Linked DNA regions of Drosophila melanogaster. The gene in region 2 interacts genetically with the main gene of each other region. Each region holds a gene or a part of one and is shown on either strand. Other genes may lie near its edges.

The links. A genetic interaction does not mean that the proteins touch.
Region 1: of Ppt1 (region 2) and shi, changing one enhances a phenotype caused by changing the other (phenotypic enhancement), as found in Drosophila melanogaster (2 studies listed by BioGRID).

The regions. Positions count from the first base shown.
Region 1 is NC_004354.4:15,890,204-15,896,988, forward strand, and holds the start of shi (shibire), read left to right. Parts: upstream 1-1,996; 5' UTR 1,997-2,048; exon of another isoform or gene 2,049-2,378; intron 2,379-2,624; 5' UTR 2,625-2,801; coding exon 2,802-2,947; intron 2,948-4,489; coding exon 4,490-4,563; intron 4,564-4,631; coding exon 4,632-5,388; intron 5,389-5,458; coding exon 5,459-5,575; intron 5,576-5,642; coding exon 5,643-5,871; intron 5,872-5,943; coding exon 5,944-6,101; intron 6,102-6,162; coding exon 6,163-6,269; intron 6,270-6,503; coding exon 6,504-6,560; intron 6,561-6,785. Other genes in the region: CG15916 (uncharacterized protein), read left to right, coding at 469-1,284. UniProt on the Drosophila melanogaster protein: Microtubule-associated force-producing protein which is involved in the production of microtubule bundles and which is able to bind and hydrolyze GTP. Implicated in endocytic protein sorting.
Region 2 is NC_004354.4:8,686,025-8,693,323, forward strand, and holds Ppt1 (Palmitoyl-protein thioesterase 1), read right to left. Parts: upstream 4,204-7,299; 5' UTR 4,055-4,203; intron 4,023-4,054; exon of another isoform or gene 3,995-4,022; 5' UTR 3,956-3,994; coding exon 3,411-3,955; intron 3,271-3,410; coding exon 3,121-3,270; intron 3,065-3,120; coding exon 2,938-3,064; intron 2,879-2,937; coding exon 2,756-2,878; 3' UTR 2,603-2,755; downstream 1-2,602. Other genes in the region: CAH3 (carbonic anhydrase 3), read left to right, coding at 1,244-1,718, 1,794-1,930, 2,013-2,153; Ogg1 (8-oxoguanine DNA glycosylase), read left to right, coding at 4,464-4,603, 4,662-4,979, 5,041-5,527, 5,587-5,673; CG11294 (uncharacterized protein), read right to left, coding at 6,144-6,722, 7,233-7,299. UniProt on the Drosophila melanogaster protein: Cleaves thioester-linked long fatty acyl groups such as palmitate from modified cysteine residues in proteins or peptides.

The DNA.
Region 1 (6,785 bases), 7.2 Mb from region 2:
AAATATATATATCAACGTCGGTTCTCAGTGAACGGAAATTCCAAATTTATATATCGTAACGTTATATTTTCGATTTTTTCCGATGTTATTCCAAATTAATAGAATATATGTTAATATTTTTATAATCTGAAACACGGAAAAGACAACAACTAAAATGCAATTTAAATTATTAAATAAAAATGAGCAAACTTGGTTATTTAAACACTTGCCTGTTATATGGCATGTTACTCTGCAAGCAACTGTCGAAAATCAACTTTTATTCTGTGAATTCTTAGATATGAAGTTAAATGAAGTGCAAATAAGCTATCCCCCAAATTAAAGTGGTCCAGAGTGCTCGAAATTATCGTCCATCTCTAACGCATTTTAAAAACGCAAGTGGCTGGTCTCACTCATGTTATTCCACATTATATTTTGTATTGCATTCTATTTTATCTAAGCTAGCAAATATATTTAAGGCAACTAGACTAAATGTTAAGCATTCGTGTTTTAAGGCTACAAAATGGACACTCCGTTCTTAACAACGCCTGCCAATTGGCACTTTCGCGAAACAAGAGCTCCAAAAGGTCGAGCAAAGACAACGTAACGCGACAGGGAAAAATATTTGGCTCGTTGTTTGGAAATCGGCTTAAAGGCAGCAAAAGCCATTGGTATCCATCGCCCGATGCAGGAACATCAGGCAATCAAAAGTCGCTGCACGCCTTAAAGTTTGGAACCCCACACTCGAAGACAACTTGCAGCCACAACAATCGACGCATGTCTGTTCTGAACAAGTTGTTCATGACGAACATCACTGATATTCTGGCCACCGGCGCAGTTGCCGATTCCATCGTGGGACACGGAGTGCAGATTTCCTATGTCAAGATCACCAGCGACTTCTCCCGCATCAATGTCTATTGGATGGGCAAGGATGGCGGGGAGAACCAAGAGCTCGAGAACACATTGAATCGCATGAGCGGCAAACTGCAGCACGAGCTATCGCAGCTCCATCTGATGGGCGAAGTGCCAAAGATCAAGTTTGTCCGGGACAAAACGAGCACTGGTCTCCATCAGGTCCACGAGGTTCTGTCCAAAATCGATCTTCAGCACAGTTACTCTAGTTCAAATGCGGAAGTTGAAGAAAGCGACGCACAGAGTTGTCAGACGGCTGCGGATGAGGAATGGCCGGAGATGCGACAGGATTTCCTCAGTTTTAACCATAGCTTAGTTATGGACAAGATTCTCGGCAAGATGCGCAAGTCCAAAGATGCCTGGGTTAATCATAGACAAAATATTGCGAAAACCTAACGTTTGTTAAATCCCTCGACTTATGTACATAATGTTAATTATTAAAGTGTTATTCAATCCAATGTAAATTGGGTTCTAAAGTTGAAAATAGGGGTAGGGTCTGTAAACGTTTAATCATTTTCCAATAAGTTTGAAATGTTGGCTACTTTTATCCCAACTAGTTCATCATGTTGAGTGGTTTTAAAATAGAGTATCGATTGCGTTTCTAAAAAAAAGCTTTAACGGCTTAAAATTGAATGTCAAAGGTCAAATCATTACCATACTCGATTATGTTATTATGCTTTTAAAGCTTGCGCACTGCATCTGTATCTGTTATCGATATAAAGCAAAAACGCAGAAAAGCCGGACATGCGCATAAAATGAATAGTTTTATAAGCTTTTAGTATTGGTTATATATTCCCTTCAGGATATGCATATTGTAGATGTGCATTTAATTTAATAAATAGATAGATAATTACTTGTAAGTTAATGTAATCAAATCAGCTGTTTTTGATAGTTGCGATAGTAGGCGACCTTGCGCTTAAATTGATATCGATGTCGGATAAAGCACTGGACTTGTTATCGAAACCAACACTTAGCTTCGGCATACGGAAACTATTCGATATATCGATGTATCGCGAGTGATTCACCCAGCCCTATCAATTATACCAAAAAAAATCAGACCAGACCAGCTTATCGGGTACAGATTGATTACTTTCTTGCATCTCTAGTTTTAGTCGAAAAAATCCATTGAAACGATTTGGAAGCGGAGTGTGGTGATAGTTGTCAGTTTTGCACAATAAGAAGAATATTTGTTTAAAAGACCAAGCCAAAGCCCAAATCGCAGTGCGCTCTTTGTGGCGATAAACATGACATCTACACTAACACAACACAGTTACGCCTGAGAAATAAGTGACAAATTGGAAAAGTCGATGATAAATTCGTTTGGGAGTATATATACAAATTATTTTCGTGTAAATGTCGATAAACACTTTTGCTCGCAAAACCCAACAATCATACCCGTCTTTACCTTCTTCGCGATTCCAATTCCGATTCCAATAAGTTTCGCTACATCGCCATTATAATCCGAAGAAGCAAGAAAGGTTATTGTGGTGGTACATACAATATATCGGGTTGGTTAATCGTGTGGGAGAATGAGTAACTCATGAGTGCTCTCCAATAACGATTTCTGTTTGCAATTTTCCCCATTCCCCCACGATTTACGCATATTTGTTATTAACCACCACCCCCACCGCCGCACACAAATTTTGTCAATTTTTTTTTTGTGTTATCTATACAAACGAAAAGAAAAGTGATGGAACGCATGAAAGTATTTATAATGCAGCAATTGTATTTTGCAGAGGAGTGTGTGCAGTGAAGTAAAGCCAGCGATTAAAGGAAACAGCATAGAAAAAAAAAAGACCCGGGAGCTGAGCAGTAAAAACACAAACATCCGGACGAGTTGGGATCGCAGTTCGATCTGATCTGATCTGATATCTAATCTAATCTAATTGTGAGGGAAATCGGACCTCGCCGCAATGGATAGTTTAATTACAATTGTTAACAAGCTGCAAGATGCGTTCACATCGCTCGGCGTCCACATGCAACTGGATCTGCCGCAGATCGCGGTGGTCGGTGGCCAGTCAGCTGGCAAGAGTTCCGTTTTGGAGAACTTTGTGGGCAAGTGAGTATCCCCCGCACGCCTTATCAGCATATTATCCTCTCATATGGGATCATACTATCATACCATATCACCCTATCAGCACCCCAAATATCTAGCCTACATATATTGTGATTGATAATGGACCTGAAGAGACCCCTCTTTGGCATGCAGCGAATCGATTTTTCTGCACGCCAGTGCTCAGCGAAAAGTAGCGCTATTCTTTCTATTATGTCTGCGTTTCGTGGAATGCCCAATTAAATGTTACTGAAAAACTATGAGTAATCGCTGATAGCACTCGCTTTCAGGCATTATTATTATTTTTTTTTTTTTTGGTTGTTTATTAACAATCAATAATTGGTGTCTACGAAACAAGTGTACTTGCTCATAATGACCAAACCATATCAGTGGTCTTAACTTAATTATGATAATAAGAATTTTATCTTTCACCTGCACAAAGCTGTTGAAAATCCAAAAGCCCCGCAGCTCTGCAAACTATATTCACAAAACGAATTGTAGAACATCTACGTATACGTATTTTGAATTTTGTTAAACAGAAATCTAAATTGTATGTATCAATGCGATTTCTTGTGTGTTTGTATCTATAAGCCTGCGCTGTCTCTCATTTTTCTTTGTTAGTGTCCACTCTAAATACAAACATATAAAGAAAACAATGGCTTACGCCCCAAAAAAATGCAGATAAGGCCAAAATGATAGTGTGTCGGCGATTTAAGTTTTTCCCCACTCTTGCCCAACGATTGAGTAGAGTAACTCACATTCTATATGTTTACTTTCGAATATATTTGTAAAAGTTTGACCTCCTTTAGAGTCGATTTATTTATTTTTCATAGCTTGCAAATAAGGGGGGGGGGGGGTGCGCTGAAAAAGAACATTAATCAATATGCCCATTCATGTATTTACAAACTGCATTGAGCCATGTAAAGTTTGTGCTTACATAAGTCCACTATGTTCAAAATAGTCCAGTTAGATTTCGCATGCGCCGTGCTTTATATGTATGTATGAATGTATGTATGTGTGTCAATTAGGGTGGTTACCCCGCCCCCCGCCCACCTGACACCACTGAGCCATCGGAGGAAGCGAGAGAGGCAGCGAGACCCACGGCCACGGCAGGCCAAAGTCTTAATGTCAATGGAAAATGAAGGCTTCTTCTAACTCTGGTCAGTGCGAACAGGATGTAGGTGACCAGAGTGTTCAAAATGACCCATTTACCATTTGATTTATTAGCCTAGCTAACAAATAGCTTTACTTTAAGTACTCAGTGGTATTAAACAATGCCCAACACTTTTGGAGTCCTGAAGTTCTCACTTGGAAATTTAAACACTAGCTGCAAGTCATAAGTTAAATTTCCATTAAGTTTTTAGTATTGGCAACTCAAATACTCATTATTCGATGCAATTTCAAAATGTTTTGATACTAGGCTTAATGCTTTCTACATACTTCTTAAGCCCAGTAGTAATATTGTTAGATGAACAGGCTCCACAATCCAAAAACCAAAGACTTCTATGATTCCATTATTAAATACAAAACGTTTTCCCCATTTTACAGAGATTTCTTGCCGCGCGGCTCTGGTATCGTAACTCGGAGACCACTAATCTTGCAACTGATCAATGGAGTTACCGGTAAGTTGAGCATTTGATATGATTAAAGAGAAGCTATCTTCTAATGCTAACATTGATATTTATTGCAGAATATGGCGAGTTCCTTCACATTAAAGGCAAGAAGTTTTCCAGCTTCGATGAGATCAGAAAAGAAATCGAAGATGAAACGGATCGTGTGACCGGTAGTAACAAAGGCATTTCAAACATTCCAATTAATTTGCGCGTCTACTCGCCGCACGTACTCAATTTAACCCTGATCGATTTGCCAGGCCTGACAAAGGTGGCCATTGGCGATCAACCGGTGGATATTGAGCAGCAAATTAAGCAGATGATATTCCAATTTATTCGCAAAGAGACTTGTTTAATTTTGGCTGTGACCCCGGCCAATACGGATCTGGCCAATTCGGATGCCCTCAAGCTGGCCAAGGAGGTGGATCCACAGGGTGTGCGAACCATTGGCGTTATAACCAAGCTGGATCTGATGGACGAGGGCACCGATGCACGCGACATTCTGGAGAATAAGCTGCTTCCGCTGCGACGTGGCTATATTGGCGTGGTGAATAGATCCCAAAAGGATATCGAGGGGCGCAAGGATATCCACCAGGCATTGGCCGCCGAACGCAAGTTCTTCTTGAGCCATCCCTCCTATCGGCACATGGCCGACCGTCTCGGCACCCCCTACTTGCAGCGCGTGCTCAACCAACAACTAACCAATCACATCAGGGACACGTTACCTGGCCTGCGGGATAAGTTGCAGAAGCAGATGCTCACTTTGGAGAAGGAGGTGGAGGAGTTTAAGCACTTTCAGCCAGGCGATGCTAGCATCAAAACAAAAGCTATGCTCCAGTAAGTTCAAAAAAAAAAAGGATTTCCGTTTGTAGCTCTTGATTAAACTGGTGTATTTACATTCCTACAGAATGATTCAGCAGCTGCAATCAGACTTTGAGCGAACTATCGAGGGCAGCGGCTCAGCTTTGGTGAACACAAACGAGCTCTCAGGTGGCGCCAAGATCAATCGCATTTTCCATGAACGGTAGGTGTTTGTGGTGTCTTTTTGAAAAGCCCCCTAAAACTGATATGATAACATCTCGTTGCTTCAGTCTGCGCTTTGAGATCGTAAAGATGGCTTGCGATGAAAAGGAACTGCGACGAGAGATCTCATTTGCAATTCGAAATATCCATGGTATTCGCGTTGGCCTCTTCACACCCGACATGGCGTTCGAGGCGATTGTCAAGCGGCAGATAGCGCTGCTCAAGGAGCCGGTTATCAAGTGTGTCGATCTAGTCGTACAGGAACTTTCTGTGGTCGTGCGCATGTGCACAGCTAAAGTAAGTTGGCTTATTTGCTGGCACCAAGCTAAGCACTAAGTTTATATATTTTTTTTTTTTATCTTTGAACAGATGAGTCGATACCCACGTCTGCGTGAGGAGACCGAACGTATTATCACAACACATGTGCGCCAACGCGAGCATAGCTGCAAGGAACAGATCCTGCTGCTTATTGACTTTGAGCTGGCCTATATGAACACCAATCATGAGGACTTCATTGGCTTCGCCAAGTGCGTATTTGATCATTTGGAAAGGGGCGTAGGGAAAAACTAAATCTTGCACTCATTATAGCGCTCAAAACAAATCAGAGAATGCCAACAAAACTGGCACTCGTCAACTGGGCAACCAAGTCATTCGCAAGGGTCACATGGTCATCCAGAACCTTGGAATCATGAAAGGTATGCACGTTCCCCCCACCCCCAATGACATTCTCAATCAACTTGCTATTGATTGAAGGGCAGTAACCTTGTAAATGGTGACAGAATGCTTTGTTAGAAATTTAGTTTTCAACGTTTCCGAAATGAAAGAAGAAGTGCGTTAAGACTGGTCACCGCTTGGTGGCTTGGTGGTGGTCATTTTGAAACTTTTATAATTTGTATTTTTTATGTGAATATTGTCTTTGTCATTGAAAGATATAAAATTAGGACGATCTGGACCGCTAAACGTACGATTTTTCAGTCCTTCTACAGGTACTATCATGTTTTCTGTTGCTTTTGCTTTGCGTTCTTTGGATAATTAATTAGAACACGCCACTCTTTTGCATGTGTTATACTTTCAATCATTCTTGAATCACTCGAATCGAACACGATTGCTGCTGACCTTCCATAGGCGCGTCGAGCATCCTTCTTTATATGAAGGATACGTAGGTACAATATCCAGCTTAGCTAACAAAATTGATGATGATTACTTCTCGA
Region 2 (7,299 bases):
ACCCATAAATTGGCCATCGGTTTTTGTGCATATCCTTAACACTCCATTATTGCGTCAATTGCAAGAATTTCGCTGCCAATCAATATTTAATTGTGGCAACGTTTCCCAGTCGAAAGCTCGCCTCAATTGTGCCTTATTGAAATTGCAAATAAAGTGAAAATCAATAGATGAAAATTACTTTATAACGAGTCAATTGGAAATTGTGCAAACAAGATGACAACTTTGTTTGGTACTCTGGTCGTCAGAATATTTAAGCAGTTGACCAAAAGAGGCGGTGCTCCACCATTGAATGGAGACATTTATTCTGTCCTTCGACGCACTTTAATTACACAAATGGCTAATCAAAGGCGGATGGTCGGGTGGCGGGTGGTAAATGCATTGGCCGCGGAGTATCAATTTTCGTTGGTTAAGGGGTTGGTGAAGGGGGATGGCGAAGGGGGCGGATCAACAGCACGCGAGTCGCTAAACATTTAATTGATTCCGTGGCCGTGAATGGTAGACTCTCGTTTCGCTCTGGATACAGGAAATTACCGCTTTTACACACTTGATATTGCTGGATATATCCGGTTATAGAAATTACACCCAAAACGGAAGATGCTCATGAATTCGCGTTTGTTTATATCCTTAAAGTAGCTGAACATTATTAACTCGATTTCTCTGCCTCTTGCAGGTGCATTTCCAAGCGGGCTTAACCAATCCGTGGATCTGAAAAGGAGGAGCAGGCGTCGGTCGTTGGAGGCGCCGGCATAGAGAACTTTTCCGAGACGCGAGCGCCCAGCGGAGCAGTCGCCACCACGACGTCGACATCGCCACCGCCGCCGCGAGCCGCGCTGCTGTCACCAGCCGAGCATTTGGACGCCAGCGCCGACGATCGCGGGCGTGTGTACAAGCTCCGGAAGAAGAAATACCTGAACGCAGCGCATATCACATAGGGAGTCGTCGTCGGTGGAGGAGTGGAGTAGCCAGTGCGGTTTGGGTGCTAGGAATCGGTGCTAGGAGCTAGGATTAGGAGATCAAAACTGGAAAAAAGGTGCATATGTGCGGAATGCACTGAGATCTGAGATCATTGATCACTTGTTGTTATACATTGATCGTTGGCTCGTCTTTTCTTATGTTATTATGAATGAGCTTTGAATTCACTGGCTTTGATCATCTTAATTATGAAATATTTGGCGAATTCTAATGTCGATGTGCTTTTGTTTTTTAGCATAATTTAATTCGAGGAGGAATCTGGGAAAGCGCAATGCCCGTACAATCCCCAATTGAGATCAGCAACCGTGCCATCGAGCACATTGACGATGTGGATCCACTAGAGTACCATGGCCATTGGGAGCCGGTGGGCGTGGCCCGGGTACAGAACACAGGCACCTCCGCAATGGTCACATTCAGCAAGCGAAAACAACAGCCATACATAATCGGCGGTGCCCTGGAGCAGGACATGTACGTGTTCGAGCAGCTGCACTTCCATTGGTCGGACTGCGATGAATCCGGCTGCGAGCATACACTGGAGGGCATGAAGTACTCAATGGAGGCCCATGCCGTCCACTACAATTCGAAGTACAAGGACTTCACGGAGGCCAAGAACAAGCCCGATGGCCTGGCCGTCGTCGCATTCTTTATTCAGGCCTGCGGCGAGAAGGACTGTCCCGAGTTCAAGAAGATCACCGAGGGCATCCGCATCGTTCAAAAGATCCATACGAGTGCATCGCTGGATTCCGGTGCGTGTGCAATTTTCACCGAGTATGGTTTTAAAAATGTGACTTACTCTATTACTCTTGGCTCTGCTTTTTTAGATTGCCTATCATGGATTGGTCTGCAGGAGCTGAGCAAACATTATTACACGTACAAGGGTTCGCTGACAACGGCGCCGTACTTTGAGAGTGTCACCTGGATCATATACCGCACCCCCATCTATGTGTCTCGCGGCCAGGTGCGTGTTTTTCTCACCAAGATGATCCCCCAAATACTTTCATTTGGAACACTAAATTTGAGAAACCTCTTTTGATTTGCAGGTTCAGGTGTTTCGCAATTTGCAATCGTGTCCCAAAGATGAGTCCAAAAAGATAGTCAACAATTATCGCGAGATCCAGCGTCCGCACAAGGATCCGGAAATCTTCTTTGCGCGCAACACCAATCCAAAGTCCAAGTTATAATGTGCTTGCCATATGACTTGGATACAATTCTACAATTCCCGCTCCCGCTGACTTTCCTTTTTCCAACCTTTCGCGCAATTTTCTCCGCCCAATCGCCTATCTAAACTATAGCTATGTGTAAACATTTATCTGTCTATGGTTGTCTGTAAGCTGCTTTTGTTATTTGCCTCATGTACATAGCGTTATATACCTAACAAAACATACATATACATACATACATATATATATATATATATATATATATATATATACGGAGTATTTACGATACGGATACGTGTATGGAATTTTAGTCGGAGCACGCGGTTGCCTTGCATTGAATATTTCAGAGAAATATCGGGCACAACTACTTAAGACATCTACAAGAGACGTAATCCTAACGTTTAAGTTATTAAGATAAACAGTGAAAGCGAGAAAAAGAGGAAAATAAGAACAGTAAATCAACACATTTTGTATGTCCAAACTGAATTTATTAAACATCTAATTAAACATGTATAAAAGTATCAAAAAGTCATTATTAATATTAAAATGCTTATGTTAATAGGAAGAATGGATTAAACCTATGCAAACATTTTTGTCACAATACGTGCTTTTTGGGCACCATCTTATTTTTCGAGTAAGAGAGGCACTATGTTCTGGATAAACCAGGCCTTGGATATGGCCAAGTGATCACCTTCGACGCCGAGAAAGACAAGTTGTCCTTGTCGATGCATCTTGTCCAGTCCCAGCTTTAGGAAAAAATGTACATTTCATATTAGAACGTTAGGTGATAGATATGCATACGTACATCCTGATAGACTTTGCTCTCAGTAAAGGGCTGGATGACTTTGTTCTGCCCAGTGGTGTAGTATTGAAACCACTGGGACTCCTTCGGCTGGACAATTGTGTCGTTTAGGAACTGCACCATCACAAATCTGCAAAGCAGAGGTTAATAATATTTGATAAATGTATAAGTATAATACGCGCTTACTTCTTAAGCTTTTGCAGATTCTCAATGTAGAACTTGTTGATGAAGAGCTCGTTGTTAATGTCCGCGAGAAATGTGCTGCCCAGGCGGTATTTGTTCTCCATGATCGGGTCGTGCCAGTAGGTGGCCTGAACCAATGCCTTCTGCACTTCACTGGGTGTATGGTATGCAAGAGAGAAGAGAGAATTAACACGGAAACGACAAGGATGGCGACATGGTGGTGTTGGATTAATAAGCATGTAAATTCCAGGAATTATATTATATTAGGATTCCTTAACAACAGATAGACTCACGGTGCGTAGGCGGCGTTGTCCAGTAGCCTCGTGATATAATCACAGGGCTTTTCGGTTAAGGTGGGGCACATGGGCAGTCCGAAGATGCCCTGGTGCTGCCCACCGAGTGTGATAAGGTTCCTCATTGGCGGATTCGGGCAACGTTCGGCAACCGCACGCAGAAACTGGCCGCCTTGCGAGAATCCGATGGCGTGGTATCCCTTGGCCAGGTGCTCATCCTGCAGTAGTTGCTTGCAAACGTAATCCACCTGTTCGTTGGGATGTATGAAGAAGCCGCTCTGCCAGTCTATCAAAACATTGCCGCCGATCTGCAGGGATCGCACATAGCCGCCCTTTGTTTGCTCCACGATCAGGTTCATAATGGCACCCAGGCTGAAGGGTACGCAGCAGGTGTCGCCCATTCCGTGCCACAGAACGACCGGCAGGACCTCCGGATTGGTTCCTCCTTTCGTCGGGCTCCACCATATGTAGCTCAGCACGAGGGAAAAGATCAGGAACAGCAAAAATAAAATGCATGAAAAACGAGAACAGCAGATAGAAATCATTGTTGTTGGAGTGCAATTTTTGCAAATCAAATTAGTCGTCTGCTATCGATAATATATGGTTCGATAATATAATCGGGATATTTCATGTACGGGATGTACCTGGTCTTATTTATACCTAAAGGTAATTTCGTACTGCGTGCTTTAACGCAACATGAAAAATACTGCAACTATTTTTCCTTTCAAGGCAACAGGCTTGACTATATAACTGTTCAATTAGGTGCATTTTTCGAAGCCCTCGTCTACATTGCTGCATTTATTGGTACTTTATTGTGCAGCTGTGAACAGAAAATTTACATTTTCCAACACTGGCGTCTAAGCAAAAGTAGAATGTTGTGAATACCCCGAACGGTAAACAAATGCTAAACAGCTGATAGCAATAACACATTTTATTCAGCGAGTTTGTTTCTTTCGATTTAAACTCGAGTTTTAATGTGGTTTACTATTTAAACGTGACAAAGTACTATTGTTAAGTATGCCAAAACACGGCTTAAGTTGTTTATAAAACCGGATGCTGGCTCATAACCTAGGTTTCCATAAAAAGCGCCTTTTTTCAAACATGAAGGCTGTTTTACAGGATCGGGGTGTCATAGGCTTATCCCTCGAAGAATGCGATTTGGAAAGAACTTTGCTTGGAGGACAGAGTTTCCGGTAAGCGCTATCCATACTAATAATGAACATATGTACTCAAAACAACTTTACATGCCAGATGGCGATCCATATGCGATGGTAATAGAACGAAATATGGCGGAGTGGTGTTCAACACCTACTGGGTGCTCCAGCAAGAAGAATCCTTCATAACTTACGAGGCATACGGAACCAGCAGTCCTTTGGCCACGAAGGACTATTCTTCCTTGATATCTGACTACCTACGTGTTGATTTCGACCTAAAGGTCAACCAAAAAGATTGGTTAAGCAAAGATGATAACTTTGTGAAGTTCTTGAGTAAGCCTGTGCGCCTCCTTTCTCAGGAGCCGTTCGAAAACATTTTTAGCTTCCTTTGCAGTCAGAACAATAACATCAAGCGGTAGGTGGTTCAATCAAATGCGAATCCCATCATTAAATACAGTAAATTGGTTTCTTCTTAGCATATCATCTATGATTGAATGGTTTTGCGCTACATTTGGCACCAAGATTGGTCACTTCAATGGTGCCGATGCGTATACATTTCCCACGATAAATAGATTCCACGACATCCCATGCGAGGATCTTAATGCCCAGCTAAGGGCTGCCAAGTTCGGTTATCGGGCCAAGTTCATAGCACAAACGCTGCAAGAGATCCAGAAAAAGGGGGGACAAAACTGGTTCATAAGCCTAAAGAGCATGCCGTTCGAAAAAGCTCGCGAGGAGCTGACACTGCTACCCGGAATCGGATACAAAGTGGCCGATTGCATCTGCCTTATGTCAATGGGTCACTTGGAGTCAGTGCCCGTCGACATTCATATTTACAGAATTGCCCAAAATTACTACCTGCCACATCTAACCGGCCAAAAGAACGTAACCAAGAAGATTTACGAAGAGGTCTCGAAACATTTTCAAAAGCTACACGGAAAGTATGCCGGTTGGGCTCAAGCTGTAAGTACACTGAAAGTTGCAATTTAGTCTGTGTGTTTCTTATAATATCATTATTTCAGATTCTCTTTTCTGCCGATTTGAGTCAATTTCAAAATACTTCCACAGTTGCTTGTAAGAAAAAATCCAATAAAAAACCTAAAAAGTGATCTTATCTATTGGATTAAAAAAAAAAATATTCCTACTTGTAATATTTGAATATTAAAATATAATAGAAATGTATATACTAATGTATATATAAATATATATCTAAACAGAGAAAGAACTTGATACTGGGTTTCATATATCTTTTTTTTATTGCTAAACAGATGTAATTGATTAAATAAAGTGTACATTAAATGTCCGTTTTGTATATACATCGCCATATTTATGTGTACAGATTGCGCTCGAATTTGAAATTTAGGATATTCAAAATGTGTTGTGTCCGTTTTAGAAATTCATCACCTAAGGAAACCACTTTTAGATACGCATACAGATGTTTAGGATATGCTTATGAAGTGGTTATTCGAATCTTTTATTGGAGTGAGCACTGTACAAGTGAAAGTTTCAGTATCTGTATCCGCATTCGTATCCGTGTCCGCATCTTTATATCTGTCCGTATCTTGATAAAAGTCCTCGTCTACAGGCCTCCATTCGCCTCCGCTGATCCCGCCGCCCCCTGAGTTCCCTGTTGTTGTTGCTGCTGCTGCTGCTGCTGGAGCTTGCTGCTCTGGGAGAAATCGATACAGGCGCCGGAGGTGAGATCAATCTCCTCGGAATCGGATCCATCGGAACCCTCGTCGGAGTGTCCGGATAGGGCGGCCATTCCGCCCAGTTCCATGCCGTGCGACGGCGCCTTATAGAGCTTTAGTTCTGTATAGGTCTTCGATAGCTTATCCTGATCCGTGGCCTGCTGGTGTCCCTGGTGCTGTTGTTGCTGATGCTGCTGCTGGAATGCCGGGTGCATCATGGTGAAGCTCCCCGAATTGGGTCCATTGCCCACCTCCGCCAGTTCCGAATCCTTGCTCGCGGAAGAGAGGTTCTCCGGCGTCTGGCTGGGCGGTCGAGCCGTAGCTCCGTTGCCGGATCCGCCCTGCACCGCTCCACCGCCCATGACGGGGGGCGTGCCCAGGCTGAGGCAGCGCATCCGCCAGGCGTCCTGGAGGAGCTGCAGTCGTGCCTGCTTGCGCCACTTGGCCCGGCGATTCTGGAACCACACCTGCAATTAAAAAAGGTAATTTACTCTATATAGATTTGGCCTTTTGTTGTTGGATCTAAAAACGAAGATCTAGATTCATATTCTTTTAATATTTTTGAAATATTTGCAAGATTTTATGAGATAATAATCCAAAAGGCCAAGTAAAGCTAAAATTTTATTTTTATATTTTTGACCAAGTTAATCAAAATCACTTCAATTTCCTTATATTTGTTGTACATATTGCACATTGCGCTCTTACAACTCAGTGTGTTTTGTTTTAATTCATTAAATTATATTTTTTATACAAGAAATGGGAAATTGAATTAAATGAAATAAAGAAACGTGTACTAATTATTTCTAAGCCATTAAAGGTAAGAAGAAGTACCTTAACTATAAATAACACCCCAAAAGAGTTAATTCCTAATCACCCATTACGAATCACCCAAATTCTATATAGGATTTTAAATCGGATCTCGCAGGTTTGCGGATCAACTGGGTGGATACTTTGCCTGGTCTGTAGGGGGAATTCACCTGGACGCGTGCCTCGCTGAGGCTGATCCTCAGGGCCACCTCCTCGCGCAGGAAGACGTCGGGATAG